Linked DNA regions of Saccharomyces cerevisiae S288C. The gene in region 1 interacts genetically with each later gene. Each region holds a gene or a part of one and is shown on either strand. Other genes may lie near its edges.

Evidence for each region.
Region 2: mutations in CUZ1 (region 1) and COS6 together harm fitness more than expected from each alone (negative genetic interaction), as found in Saccharomyces cerevisiae (one large-scale study listed by BioGRID).

Annotation. Positions count from the first base shown.
Region 1 is NC_001146.8:335,786-343,840, reverse strand, and holds CUZ1 (Cuz1p), read right to left. Parts: upstream 1,326-8,055; coding exon 501-1,325; downstream 1-500. Other genes in the region: serine/threonine protein kinase YCK2, read left to right, coding at 1-205; YNL155C-A (uncharacterized protein), read left to right, coding at 1,706-1,930; NSG2 (Nsg2p), read left to right, coding at 1,873-2,772; IGO1 (phosphatase regulator), read right to left, coding at 2,983-3,489; PGA1 (Pga1p), read right to left, coding at 3,633-4,229; ASI2 (Asi2p), read left to right, coding at 4,494-5,363; YGP1 (Ygp1p), read right to left, coding at 6,232-7,296. UniProt on the Saccharomyces cerevisiae protein: Promotes efficient arsenite-induced clearance of stress granules (SGs). May have a role in the ubiquitin-proteasome system (UPS) protecting cells from metalloid-induced proteotoxicity.
Region 2 is NC_001139.9:1,079,340-1,087,540, reverse strand, and holds COS6 (Cos6p), read left to right. Parts: upstream 1-4,811; coding exon 4,812-5,957; downstream 5,958-8,201. Other genes in the region: YRF1-3 (Y' element ATP-dependent helicase protein 1 copy 3), read right to left, coding at 1-2,510, 2,659-2,677; seripauperin PAU12, read right to left, coding at 6,873-7,235.

The sequences.
Region 1 (8,055 bases):
ACAAAAATATGCTCAGCAACAACAAAAGCAAATGCAACAGAAATCCAAACAGTTTGCCAATACAGGTGCCAATGGTCAAACTAACAAGTATCCATATAATGCGCAACCAACGGCGAACGACGAACAAAACGCTAAAAACGCAGCGCAAGATAGAAATAGTAACAAATCATCGAAAGGTTTTTTCAGTAAGCTAGGATGCTGTTAGAATAGAAAACGGAGGAGGTTTTTTGTAATCATTCCCACCACCGTCCAGTGATCTTCACATTTTGTTCTAGTATTATGATTTTGATGTACATTTGATATTTTTTTATGTTTTTTATTTAAAAAGTAAGGGCGAAAATGTCTATTATTAAAAAAATATTAAGTACTTTACGTGCTTTTTAATATCGTTTTTTATTGATTATGTATCTTTAATGGGTTATTGATTTTTTTTGTTTTCTTTTTATATAGTATATACGCTTGACGTTCCGCGCGATTGTTTGTTATTTATAGTGTCCTTCTTAATTAGATTTTTCGTCGGCGTTATTGTGTACTAAATACAGAGTATCAAGATCTTTGATCTCATTAGTGACTCTTAAGGAAGCGCCAATATTATAAAATGAAACTTGTTTACCCTCTTTCAATTTGCATAGTTGAAATTTGTCATTAGAACTTGAATTAGTTAGTGTGCTAGATTTCACGTTTAGCTGGATAGACAAATAGTCCATGGCCCTACCCACAGGCCACATTTTGTTAATGTATAATGGCATTCTTGTATCCTCCTTGGCTATATCCGTCTCATCACCATCCACCAAGTAACACCAAATGTAAATCCTATTTTGCATAGGAATCTTGGGGTCACCTTTAGCAATTTTCTTGAGATTAGCCAATTGAATTATCTTATTCGACGAGGAACCGAAATTCTTTTTTGATTTGTTATTGCTCTTTCTTTTCTCATTCCTTTGGAAGAACTTAAATATTTTGTCTAATGTCTTTGAGTTCAAAGTAGAGCTCACTTTGGCAGTGTTAGAACCTCTCAAAGGCTCTCTTGTTTCACTTACTCTCTGGATTCTAACACTGGCCCTCTCAGGTAACAGACTCTTGAAATATGCTTCATCGTTAGAACTTGAGCCATCCCGGCTTTTGCTAGGACTTTTTTCAGTTTTATGAACTTCTTCATGCTCTAGCAACCACCTACAGTGGTGATCTTCCTTAAGTCTATGGTTCGAGCAGAAATCTTCATTGCAAAACGAACAATGGAAAGGTAGGAAGTCTAGTTGTCTACAATATGCACAGTGCTTTCCTACATCCAACATTCCGGTTTCTTTTTCGATAGCCGCCGACATTCTTAAATATAGCAAAAATTAGTTGATGGTCCTTTTTTTTATATCAAAATTAATGCAAGCTCTTGCAGTAGATGTACACTACAATGTGCCTATAGCTCACTGTTGTCACACTTCCGCCCTAGCTCGAGTCCTTGCTTGTACAAGCTCTTATTACATCTTTATACTCATTTGTAGAACATGCTTTTGCCACCGAAAGGAGGGTGAGGCAGTTTTATGTATATACGAACGTCGCTGGCCACGAGGGGGGAACTTTTCTTTTTATCGGCATGAGATAAAGGGTAGATACGAAATTAGCTAGACATTTAAAATATGAAAGCAAGGAAATTACTAAACTTCGAGATGTTCTTTTCCTTAAACTTCTAGTTGACAGCTCAACATTGATGATAGGGCTTATTGTAGTACCTATTTTATTTGCAATAAAGGGCATAGTAGTTGGCGTGCAAAAGGTAAAGAAAAAGTTTGGAAAGCACTCAAACACAAAGGACCAAAAAGAAGACAAGGACGAAGATAAACGACAAAGTATTTCTCAAAGAAAACAGCATACAGAATGGCCAATAGAGGAGAACCGGATCCAAAGAAGAGCACCGAATCAATCTGCTCTCTGACTAAACCGCAGCTTTATTCATTATATGATGATGACGTCGTGAGATCGGAAGATAACGAAATTTACGAAGAATTGAAACGCTCTGTCTCTATAGATTCTACCAAATATAGTAGAGATCAAACTATTGATTCGACTTTTTACTTGGCCCATAAGGTTGGCGGCTCGCTGCCAAGGAACACAGTATCTTCTAATAATTTGGAAAGGATTTTATCAGCATCATCCATTCACGAAAACTTTCCGTCAAGAACCAGACAAACTCGTCAAAATATTCTTCATTACCTGCAAGCTGTATTAATTTTGTCATTGAGCGGTTTCGCATATCATGAACTGTCCAGAAACTTGCACGATAATCATCTCTTACATCCAGATTTTGCATCGAGACCCCTTCTACTGGGTGTCAAACTTTGTAACTGGCTATCCAATGGGGTTCTGCCAAACTGGTTAGGCTACGGTGTTGAAGGACTGTTATTTGGTTCTGTTGTACCAATTCTGGATAATATTTTTCAAACAGAGGTTGTTAAGAGCTCTGTCCACCATGACAGTTTGACCTCTGTTATTAGAAGTATCAATGCCATGTTGGGAGTCACATTTGGGATCAGGAAAATACAGTGGAACTCCTCTTTGCAGGCGGCAGGGGCATGGGGGCTTCTGAATATTATACTGTGGTTGTTTTTTGACGGCTCAATATCCATGTTAATGAGCTGCATCTGCATTGGGGTGGGTTGTTGTATCTCTTGCTACAAAGATATTATCGACGGTTCCCAATTTTTATATTTCATGGATTTTTATTTCCTTGGTTCTCTAATGTTTGGAAAACTAGGAAGATATCTATATTCTCATTAAAGTCGAAATTCTGACGAGTAAATATTATTAATTAGAAGTACAAGAAGATAACATCAGAATGGCTTATCGTTTATATATAACTAATTAACGTAAACACAGTCAGCCATATGGCTGTAACACTTGACATTTCGAGAAATCACATAATAAGCGTTAAATATAAGAGACCCTTCTCTTTCCCTAAAAAAATATAAAAAAGTACAGGTTGTCTATTTATCTAATGGGTGATTCAGTATACAAACTGGACGACGAAGAGCTGTGGTTCCCCACTGGCGTTGAACTTGTACTACCACCTCCAATAGTACCGTTATTAGACGATGGTGGTCCACTCGATATACTTCCCTCCTTTTGTATCAACGTCGCATTATCTACTACACCAGCGGTTGAGGCAGTTGACGGACAAGTGCTTATCCTTCTTTTTATTATATCTTCTCGTAGTTTGCTGGGATTTGTTAATGGCAGGTTATTCTTTCCATAGTTTATTGGATCATTGTTTTGAATGCCAGCTTTCTGCAAAGCGTAATCACCACTGTCGAAATATTTTCTTTTCTGCATGGTATGCTTAAAAATATCTTTCTTTGATGGCAGCTTTCCGTACATTTTGTATAGCTTCATTTCGTTGGGCGAGAATTTGCTGGTATCAATAGTTCCGCTTTCGCCGTTATTCAGTTTAGTTAAATCTGGGTTACTACTATTGGGAGATAAGTTTTCATTCGACATAGCGGCGAGTTAGATATTCAGGTCCCTTTCTTTCGATAAAAATACCCACTTTAATGAGAAGCATTTGATGGTTAATGGACTTTTTTACGTTCTAGTTGTGATGAGGCCAAGCTATCCAGCCAAAGGGGGCTCAGGCTTCCATACTAAAATTTCAGCAAAAGATCGTTCAATACGTGTGGTGCCCGGGTAACAACAAGCCCTGCTACTAATAGCACCATAACGATTAATGTTGGGTAAATATCCACGGGGATACCTAGCCGAGTGGTGATTAATGAGACTTGTATTGGAACCATGGCATGCTCACTAGGATACGAGTCAGACAAGACCTGGAAAGTCACTAGTATTCTCGCGTAGTCTGACTTAGTTCCCTGAAATTCAGTGAAACGTGGTATTGTGATAGTTTGGAGATTATTAATGGAAATTGGATGTATTGCTGACCAACACACTTTAATCTGATATGTTTCGTCTCGCTGTAAGTCCGCCAGTTCAATATACGTAGTATTATGCAACTCCAAGTCAGTGGTATTGGCCTCGATAGTGATCTGACTCATTGCTTCTCCCGATAGTGATATGGAAGATATCAAGTTTACATCTCTTGCATAAGTAGAGCTGTCTCTTGGTTTTTTGAGGGGAAAGTTGTGAGGAACCTTATATAAGATTGATTCTGTATTAGCGTGTACAAATCCGATGAAAAATACAATTGTAGCGATAAACCAGTGAACATTCTGAGGCCGGACCATCTTCTTTTTAAAAATTGAACGAACCTATGTTGGCTTAGTGTGTGCGAATACCAAGGGTCAACAACATTGCTGTGCAGTTAATCTTCATATTCATGTAAACTTCTCATTTTTTCATTGCATATTAGTTTCCGTCATTGATGATCTTTTATAACAATAGTGAGAGGAAACAACTCCCTCTACCTTCAAATAGGGTCGATTCGGGAATATGATTAAAGAGACACCGAATCAAACGCATACATCCTCACAAGCATTTAGTGAGAAAAAATGGCGAGGCCTCAAAATCATCGCCGCAGTAATTGGACAGAAAGAGACGATAATGATGATTATCTGTTTCAGCGATTTCTAGAAGAATCGGAAACGAGGCATAGTAGAGAGCCTTCACCTGTAACCGAGCAATCTCAGCAAGAACTACAGCAGGATGTACAGCAAGCAATCGATGGAATATTTAACTCCCTTAGGAGGAATATGAGTTCTACTTCAAATATAAATAGAGCAGCTAATATGGATGCAACCACAAACGGAAATGGAGGAATCAATGCAGACACTATAAGAGCCACCAACGCCAATACGGCCGATTCCCCATTCACAGCAAGGCAGCAGAGCCCTCTCAGAACTTTTCTTAGAAATTTATTCATTTTAGATTACTTTATTGGGCTAATTTTATTCCCATTTTCCGTATACAACATATTAAGGAGCGGGTTCAATTCAATGACCTTTTCAGAGAATGATTTTATAATCGAAATCGTGGGATACTGGAAATTTGCCAAGATATTTGGTTCTGGTGGCACGACATTAATAGCATATAAGGATACTGGTAAATTAGGGTTGCTTGGAAAGTTTCATAACATCATTGTATTTTACTCTTCACCTGTGATAAAACATATTATGAAAAGTAGAGATGGCAATGAACCCAACTTAAATTGGATAAGACTAATGTTCGCTAAAGCTTTCGAGCTATTTGTCAAAGTCTCTACCATTCTGATCTATTTAGCTTATGGCGTAAGTGGTACCGTTTACATGGTTACCGCTGGGTTTTTCTTCGTATTGTGTCTATTATTCACTGTTATTAGAAGATATAAAGGTGTCCATCGAATGTTGGTGAGCCAAAGGATTACAGGGCCAGGCGTATTCTGATGATGAATCCACGATTATAATTTGTGTATTTGCTTATCTGTAGTAGTTTCTTTCGCATGTGGTCGCTGTATGAGACACTTGACACCAGAGGACGTTTATTTTGAAGCAACTCCTCTATGTAAGAGCTGTTTGCAAGCTTTCCGTACTGTGACACTTGACCATCATAACGTATATTAACGAACTACTAGGGTTGTTGTGGGCTTCTTTCAAAATGGGAATTGTTAAAAACTATTGATAAACGCCACTCACTACATGCATTGATTGTAAGATTTAACTATCCTTTTTACCTGATGTCTCGAAAATAAGCGTTTACAACAACTACTATTTTGCCGTTCTAGTTTAAAACATGGACGCTATAAAACACTAAATATATCAGAAGATTTCACTTAGACACAAAAGAAGGGGGTGAGATCCCTTATCTGTAGTAAAATGTATACAAATTATACGGACATTGTTTCTTTATTGTATCCATGTATACATGTGGGGTCTTGACACTTACAGGTAGTGAATGCTAGACCTTCGAGACTTAAGGTGAGCAATGTTTTAAAACTTTTCTTTTTTTCCCACTTCAGTGGAGTGTCACCCCGGGAAGATATTCACCTATGGTCAATGTAGCAAAAGATAATAAAAAAATATGTATGGCCAAGAATTTATATGATTCTTTCATCAATTAATTAATTAATTATTTGGGGTATGTCTTAAATAACAATAAAAAGGTGTATAAAACAATCATACTGCTTTAATGGGAAGTATGGTTCCTATTACGAACGAAAATAAAAGCTGTTGCGTGGAAATTTTGTAAAATAATGGTTATGATGACTGGTAAAAAAAGAATCTCTATGCTTCGCTAGATTTAATATCTATCAGTTCATGGGAAAATGCTTTCCAGAGCGGACTTGGAGGTGACACCATTAACGGCAGCAATGGACAACAAGATTTGGGCCTTAATTGGGGATAGGTAACCAGCACCCACAGCGTTCTTTGGAACATCTTTGTTGTCAATAAAGTTTAATGGAGTGTTAGCTTGAGCATATACGACTGGGATTTCAGTGCTTTCAATAGTAGATGAGGTTGAGTTGGTAGAACCAGAAGAAACAACAACCAAACCTTGAACGGCAGAACTCAAGGAGTCAATCAAACTGGAAGAGTAACCACCGTCATAGACAATTGGAACAATTGGAACACCGTTTTCTAATAGACCATAAGGAGTAGTGAAGTTACTGTATTCCTTTCTGATAATCGAGTCAGAAGAGATTAAAGTTGGCTTAGAAGCATCGAAGAACCATTTAACTTCGTCTTGGTCATCAACGATAGCAACAGGCAAACCAGCACCGTAAGAACAAGCAGTAGGTGGAGTGAAGACACCGGAGTACACTAATTTGTCAGAAGTGACGGACAAGACACCACGTTTGGTAGCGTTCTTATTGTTAGCGACTGGAATGGCATAAGCGGAATCTTCAGTGACAACAATAGGCTTTTCGGTGTCAAAAATGATAGAGAAGAAGAATGAGACAGCTTCCAAAGATTTGGCGTTGGCAACAACAACGGCACCGGCGGATGACTTATCTTGGATCGTTTCGTTAACAACACGGGCAACATTGTACAATTCGGTAATGTTCAAAGCAGAAGAACTGTTGAATAATCTGGTGTAGTTTGTGTGGGTCAAAGAACTGTTGGTGATTGGTACTTGACCACCTGTTACAATGATTTGTAATTGACTGCTTTCGGCAGTAGTAGTATTGGTAGTACTGTTTGTTCCATTAGCGTAGGTAACATTGCTAGAGTTAGACCCATTCCAGGCCGGCAAAGTGGAGTTGATATTCTTACTGTGAGATGCCTTAACAGCCCTGTATTTGAATAGGTTTTCGATTGGGCTTGCGACGACGGCAGATGAACATGCCAAAAGGGCAGATAAAACAACTTGGAACTTCATTTTCTATTACTGTATTACTTAACTGACGATTAATCCTGTAGATGTTTTTTGAGCTGATTTTTTACAAGCAAGAAAGAAATAGAAGGGATATTCAATAAGAGCAATAACCCAAGAGAACACAGCAGAAGTTCTAGCAAATGTCACCCTCTATCAAGCTTTTTATATTTCAGAGATGATGGTTTTTTTAGTGAGGTACTTTTTTCTCCCTTTTTCCTAATTATTACTAATAGGGTAAAAGAGATATAATAGGCGCTTTCTTTCTTCAAAGTATCGATGTTGAACTGTAGCATCGAGAAGCCGGCTTCACTCCCTACTGAGATTCTTCGGAGTTTGAAGATGCAATAGAGTACGAATATATCCCTTTTCAGCTCCTGAGCCTCTCCATTAGGAAAAGTATAAACTTTCGTCAACTTCTGCGCTAATTTTCGGCCCCTTCTTCGAGAAGTTTCGATTCGTAAAGGGTAAACTATTTAGACAGTGTACCCTTTTTGGGCTCATGTGTCTCTTGGACACATAACATGTCCACATAACATGCCCCGATTGGGTAAAAGTGAGAGACTTTTTCGCCCGCCGGATCTTCCGCGGATGACGAGAAAACTTCGCAAAAAAAAAAGTCACAAAAAAGTCACATAATAAACCAACGAATGGCCGATGTTTTACGGGTAAGCAAAAGTTTCGACGGTGAGAAAAAAACTCATGTGTCTTCAATCCCACATCAAGGCCCCTTCCTCTGGAAAGAGATCCCAATTAGGGATACCC
Region 2 (8,201 bases), on another chromosome or scaffold:
GAGTTTCTGGCCTGCGACGAGGATATCGTTTGTACTCTTGGGCTCTCGGGGCCTTTTTCGCGTTACTCTTGAAATTTTTTGATGATGATCTGAACTCGCCGCCTCACCTGCCACTACGTCTTCCGCATTCCGAGTACTAGAGAATGAACAATGGTAGTCGCTTTCAAGGCCTAACCATTGAATCCAGCGCTCGGAAGCTCGTTCCTGCAATAAAGTGGCGGTCGTCCCACTGACACTAGTTAACGAAAAGGAATCCACACCGTAAATATTTCGCCCTGTTTGAACGGAATGATTGGCCATGAGTTCACTCGTCGCCGACTCGTACAAATCTGTTTCAAATCTGCTACCTACGCAGTGCCGTCCTAGGGCAATCAACCCCTGACGCATCTCCCGAAAATTCAGCTTCTGAGGTGCATTCTTCGGAAGTTCCCTCATGTACTGCCGAAAAGTTGCGTATTCAACCAGACAGCCCTTCGCGGTATTCAGAAACATGTAGGAATACAAAACTATCCTCGAAATGTCTCGATTTGTTACTTGATCTGGATCCTCAAATCCCACCACATCCATCCAAGGATCATGATTAAAAGCGTCATAACTGTTACCAAGCGCACATATTTGCATTTGCCTTAGCACAGTGACAAAATAAAACACGTAATCTGAAGTGAGTCCGTCAAGCGTCTTAAGTCGAGGCTCCGATGAACCGTTCTTGTTGTAATCAGTGTACAGTTGGATGCGTCTTGTTGTATCATCGACGTATACGTTGCGCTGAGGACCGGCAAAAGCGAGTAGCTGAAGCTCTGGATAACGGTAAGGGTATCCTACGGCAAAATGGATCATCCACATAAGTGGCACCGTAAGCTCGTCAATTGCAACAGTGACTTTATTTTTAAGAGCCGCGGTCATTTTGTTAGTATCTCTTCTCAACTTGGGCAGCACAATTTCACGATATTTAACAGGTATCATTTGAAGGAAAGAATCGTTCTCCAGATACTCGTCAATTCCTCGCTTTGGCTCTCTGAACAAAACTTCTCGATTACGCAAAATGAGGCTGGCAATATCAACCACTGTAGGCATATAAAAGCAGTCGTTCAATTCTTCCCAAAGGTTATCAAACTGAGCCTTGCATGCAAAGTAAAAGCCGCGGACATACTCGCGATTAAACAGTTTTCCACATACTGATACACCATCAGAAGAAGGTACCAAAGTTATTCTATAAGAGTCCTTCAGCGCGGTTTCCTGCGCTACTTCGTGGTACAGAATTTTGATCCATTTCCACATCGCAACGCCGTTGTTGTCATCAAATATATCTAAATCCCTTGCGGTACAAGCACAAGACGACACCAATAAAGCTTTCACGGCATCTAGTGTTTTTCTGAGTCTTCGTGGAGTGTTAGGACTGCGCAACTTACATACTTTCAAGCCATGCTCGTCCACAGAGGGAATAATGGGTTCTTCATTCGTAATGGATCGATCCTCTTCGTCACCAGCGCCACCACGGGGACCCGCCCCGAAATTGAGCGCACATGCTCGCAAGATAATATGCAAAATATCACCCAATCGGTCCTTTTTGTTCATCATATCGTTACATATCTGTGAAAAGTACTTTATCTCAGTGGGTTTACGTGGGCATAGATCACGCTTCAGCCGCTCTGTGTCGACTTTCTTTTCGCCAGGTAAACTTGCTTGGTATGCAGAAAAAATCGATAGCTCATCTACGTGTAGTAACAAAAACATGTAGGGTGCCAAATTGTATCCATATTTCCTTATGGTGCTTTTCTGAAGACCCCTTACAATAGGTGTGCCAGAAACAAAGTCAGTGAAAGTACGCATCGTAGAGCTGTCGTTCGGCCTGGCACTCGCTATTTCGTAACAACGTTCCAGGACACGGAAACTCAACTCATTATAGTATCCTCTGTTGAGGTAAAAAAGAGAAAGGGTATCGTAATCCTTTCTATTGAATTTCAAAGTATGCACTTGAAACAACGTGTAGACCATCAAGTTGATTTTCTTGGGAATAAGATACTTTGAAGGGATTGGTCCGCCCTGGAAATCTGGTTCGTCTTCAACAAACGTCAGGAACTTTTGTACATTTTTCCCGACCATGACGGAAACGACAATTTTTTCAAAAGACCTTTTCCTATCCATTGCACCAGTTCTGAATTTTACCACTTTGATTAGACCAGACTTTTCGTCTTCGTAGAATGACCGCACTTCCGTGGGGATCGATTCAAATAAAGTTATTGAGGGACAATGTACCAAGTCGTTTTTGTTATTTAGAGCCGACTCAAACTCGTCAAAGTTTGCTTTTTCAAACTTACGCCTATCGGAAACTTTCATTTTATTTTTGTAAGTTTCGAAATTAACAATAGTATGTTGATTGTTATGCTTTTTGACAAGAAATCCATCAATATAAACAAAAGATTGTCCAGTTTCCGTCTTATCATCATCTAAGAATGTAATAATTAAGCTATTGAGAAGATGCAGAATCTGCGCTATGCAGGTGCAAATCTCTAGCAGCAGCAAAGTAAATTCAGTTAGTAAGAAATCTCACTAAGATAAGCGACTGTCTGTCCCCTTCAAGCACAACATAGAAAGCAGAAGGATGTCTCATTCATCGCTTGATTTCCGGCCTGCAAAAATAAAGTAGTCGGTACGTACGTTCGTTTTCAATTTCCATGGTGCACAGTATCTTAACTATCTGCTTAGTCGAGGAGAACCAGGATTCTGTTCGTTGCTCAGCCGCTTCGTGGATATTCTCTTGGATACTTTAAATATGGACCTACGCTTAGCCTGCGCTTAGCCTACAACTTCTTCCGCTCTCGAAAAGACCAATATAATAGAAAGTTATAAATTACATTTCCTTATTAGGTATACGACCTCGCGCTTCGAAGTAGAGGAGCCCTTTTTGGCGTACCTACATATGGCGCGTCAGACAGACAAACTTCCCCCAAAAATGTATTACCCCGCCGAATAAGAAAACAGACCCATTCACCCACGACGTATCAAGTTACTTCCTTGGTGCAATGTCCCACTATAAAAAAATTCCTTGACGCTAGATCGTTGGACTAAAATCTGCGTCACAATCGCCTAAACAGGAAATATTGCCTATTTTCGTACAAGGTTACTTCCTAGATGCTATATGTCCCTACGGCCTTGTCTAACACCATCCAGCATGCAATACAGTGACATATATATGATTTAACCTGTCTCTCAACTTACCCTCCATTACCCTACCTCCCCACAAGTTACCCTGTCTCATTCAACTATACCACACCCCAACCACCATCCATCTCTCTACTTACTACCACTCACCCACATCCACCACCTGTTACCCTCCAATTGCCCATATTCAACTCCACTACCACTTACCCTGCCATTACCCTACCATGCCCCATCTTGTTACTCACTATACTGTTGTTCTACCCAACATATTGAAATGTTAACAAATGATCGTAAATAATACACACATACTTACCCTGCCACTCTAATCCCACCACCACATGCCACACTCACCCTCACTTGTATACTGATACGGCATACGCACACGGATGCTACAGTATATACCATCTCAAGTTACCCTACTCTCACACTCCACTCCATGGCCCATTCTCACTAAATCAGTACTAGATGCACTCACATCATTATGCACGGCGCTTGCCTCAGCGTTCTATACCCTGTGCCATTTACCCATAAATCCCATGATTATCCACATTTTAATATCTATATCTCATTCGGCGGCCCCAAATATTGTATAAATGCCCTTAATACATATGTTGTACCACTTTTGCACCATATACTAACCACTCAATTTATATGCACTTATGTCAATATTACATAAAAATATCATCAAAATCACCTAAACATAAAAATATTCTACTTTTCAACAATAATACATAAACACACTCAATTGCGTATCTATACCACCATGACGTCATTAACTTAAATGTTCCTTAATATCGTCATACCATTATGATCTATTCAATATATTGTAATATAACTGCACTCTATAGTCATACAGATACTTTTACTTCACCCTATCTTCTCATACTATTGTCATAGAATCTCATACTGACACATGATTAAAACGAATAACTTTTACTATAAGGCCTGCCATCCGCGCTCTATCCTTTTGTTTGAAATATTTATATACAGAATCTCAAAACAAGCGGGAGAAGTAGTAATTACCCAGAGGTCATGCATGATCTTAGCACCACCGTACCTCTATGTTTTGCTTTGATCCGCTTTACAGTGACACCAAACATAAGGAGGGAAAATGGTATTGAAATGATGTTGAAAGGTTGTTCACATTCGCAAGTAAATTGGTTCTATGAATCTTCATGTAAGATACTCGTAGGACAGGCTCTTTCCTGTGTAAATATTTGTGACAGCTACATCTAATTTCTATTAGATATTTACACAGTTTTGTCACAGGCATTCCATGTGATAATGAAATTCTCGAGCCATATGGCGGTTGTTGTAAAAGTAGTGACATTGCTGGTCGCACCTTAAATGTAAACCAAAGTTACGGCACACTCTCACAGTACCCGCACTAAAGTTTTATAAAAGTACTATTACGATTATCGAGTGAGCTAGATAGAAAATCGGAAATGAAATGGATGCCCTTTTCGAATAGTAAAGTTTCTGTGCCTAAAATAGCTCAACATTGTTGCCCTTTTTCTATCCCGAGGTTACTGAGCCATTGCATGAACGCGCGCGCCTCGACGGCTTTTTTTTCTGCTATATAAAAGCGAAAAGCCAGAAGTTATTATTTTGAATAAAAAACCCCTCGAACTGCCATCTCACTACCGAAAATGAAAGAGAATGAACTTAAAAATGAGAAGAGTGTAGATGTATTATCCGTCAAACAGCTCGAATCCCAAAAGACTGTTCTACCTCAAGATCTTTTCAGAAGCAGCTTTACCTGGTTTTGTTATGAAATTTACAAGTCCTTAGTGTTTCGCATCTGGATGCTATTATGGCTACCACTTAGCGTCTGGTGGAAACTTTCCAACAATTGGATTTACCCGCTTATGGTTTCACTTCTTGTCCTGTTTTGGGGACCAGTATTTGTTCTTGTTATTTTTAGACTTTCTCGTAAACGTTCCTTATCGAAACAACTCACTCAGTTTTGCAAAGAGATTACTAAAAACACACCAAGTTCGGATCCTCATGATTGGGAAGTCGTTGCAGCAAATCTAAATTCGTACTTCTATGAAAATAAGGCTTGGAATACCAAGTACTTTTTTTTCAGTGCCATGAGCTGCCAAGAAGCATTCAGAACAACCCTTCTCGAACCCTTCTCTTTGAAAAAAGACGAAGCTGCCAAGGTTAAGTCATTTAAGGATTCCGTCCCTTACATTGAAGAAGCATTGGAAGTTTATTTTACAGAAGTTGAAAAACAATGGAAGTTGTTTAATTCTGAGAAATCATGGAGCCCTGTTGGCCTGGAAGATGCTAAACTTCCCAAGGAAGCTTACCGATTTAAGCTTACCTGGGTTCTCAAAAGGATTTTCAACCGGCGGTGTTTACCACTCTTCCTTTTTTATTTGCATAATGTCTTCATTTCACGAAATGATGGCACTATAGCACGTCCCTTGTTTCTTGTGGTGCTGTTTTTTATCATGACGAGAGATTTCCGGAATATGAGGATGATCGTTTTATCCGTGAAAATGGAACACAAGATGCAGTTTTTATCGACTATTATAAATGAGCAAGAAAGTGGTGCAAATGGATGGGACGAAATTGCAAAGAAAATGAATAGGTACTTGTTTGAGAAAAAAGTCTGGAAGAATGAAGAGTTTTTCTTTGACGGGATTGACTGTGAATGGTTTTTTAGCCACTTCTTCTACCGCGTTCTCTCTGCAAAGAAATCTATGCGGGCTCTATCATTGAATGTGGAACTATGGCCATATATTAAAGAAGCGCAATTATCCTGCAGTGAGGAGTCCTTAGCGTAAAGATAAATACAACTTTTTCAATTTATATATTTTGTAGTTTGTCAGCTGCGAATAACCAAAACGAGACTACTTTTTACCATTACAACCATTTTCTTTTTCCCTATTTCTCACTGGTTGACAGAAATCAGTGTGCCACCATCCTACCATATGCGCAAAACTTATTGTCTTTCTCCTCCCAGTGATGCTATATTCCATGCATATTCTGAACGATGGGTTGGTGCTTTTATCAAGCAAGGTTAATCACATGGCGTGGCTTGCTCCACGCATCAGTAGAAAACGCATACCGCAGCGGAATCCTTAAATAATAAGTGATTTTACTGTACATCGACTAGAATCGGACTCTTTCACAAATTACCCTTCTTATTTTCCACATTTATTGTTAATCAAGGGATATACAAAAGCTTATGAAAGCCTTTACCGAACACTAAATAGAAACCCTCCTGCCACGAAAAACTTCAAGATCGATAACTTTAATCTTAAAAATTTGACACATTTGAAGGCGACGACTCCGGGCCGATCGATGCCCTGAAAAAAAAAAAAAAAATAAAGGCGACCTCGTTTAAGGTGAATATGGAAGAAAATGGTTATATAATTGCTTGAACATTTGTCGTTATATATTAACAATAGCATCAACCGGTTTACTAGCAAGTGATCCTAAAATATGATTTTTTCAACATAGATATTGATGACCCATGTCGTTGAAGTGGACACACATCGAAGAATACCACAAAAGGAAGAGAGGATTCTTGTCCTTGCTCCGCCAAGTTGTTCATAAATATCACGATTGACCAGTAGTAACAATATTAATATACACTTACATATAATGAACTATTTATACTATCAAAAAAAAAAAGCTTTTTTTATTTTCGTTATTTCTTAAGGTTTATGGAATTTCGTTCGTAAAGGCGTTTGTCTCTAGTTTGCGATAGTGTAGATACCGTCCTTGGATAGAGCACTGGAGATGGCTGGCTTTAATCTGCTGGAGTACCATGGAACACCGGTGATCATTCTGGTCACTTGGTCTGGGGCAATACCAGTCAACATGGTGGTGAAGTCACCGTAGTTGAAAACGGCTTCAGCGATTTCAACTGGGTAGGTTTCAGTTGGATGAGCGGCTTGGAAAGAGTAGTATTGGGCCAAGTGAGCTCTGATATCAGAGACGTAGACACCCAATTCAACCAAGTTGACTCTTTCGTCAGATTGAGCTAGAGTGGTGGTTGCGGAAGCAGTAGCAGCGATGGCGGCAACACCAGCAGCGATTGAAGTTAGTTTGACCATTGTATTTGTTTTGTTTTTTAGTGCTGATGTAAGCTTAACAAGAAATAGTGAAATGAAAGCGCATACCTCAAAGATGGATAGCTACAGCAGCTCTATTTATATGAATGTCTTGCCAACTTCCCTGGCACAAACGAGTTATCATCTGGCACCCATCTCTCACCTAAAATGCCTCAGTGTACAATGTTCATCCCACATTCATTATTCATATTATTACGGTGCTTCTGTACTTGAACGATGCGTCTTTCATAGGTCCCGTATACGAGGCGCACGCTTCATAGTGCCTATACCTTTTTATTGCATTTCCAAGGCACAAGAATGTTTTCTCACAGTGTACATACTTCCGAAGAATCCCTTTAGGGTGCCTTCAGAGATGCAGCTGCAGCTTTTGGCCAAGAAAAAGCTAAAACCAAATTTGCTTTGAACCCTCGTTCAGAGGCCATCTAATCTTTGTGCGCTAAACGGTTGCTACGGGAAAATTGTAGATTCTGTTTTTCTTAAAATAGAAAGTGAAAGACTTATCGAATACCGGAGTCGTATATTGTAGGTGTCTACAGTCTTATACACTGCCAGCAAAAATGTTGACAAGAATAAATGAGCATTCGAGGTGCTACGAAGCTCTAGTTCTGAAACAGCGGAACTTCCACTGGACAAAGCTGACCATAGCGGAAACTATACCGGAAATTGATAAGTTAACATCTTAATAAGTATTGTATAATTTTTTTTGTAATACTAATAATCGGAGAACAGCATCAGCGCTTCGTATGGTAGGCAACGGTTGCCGCCTAGGTCTACGTTTTTCTATTCATTATATGGTACATGAAGGAGACAAAAAGTGGCGGATTACATACAGAACTTCTATCCTATGGATGTACCTGCAGTCTTTCTGTTTGGATGAAATTGATAGAGGGCTTAGTGTTACTAATACAGAAATCCTTTAAGCCTTTTTCTCCCTTTTATTCACTGTTT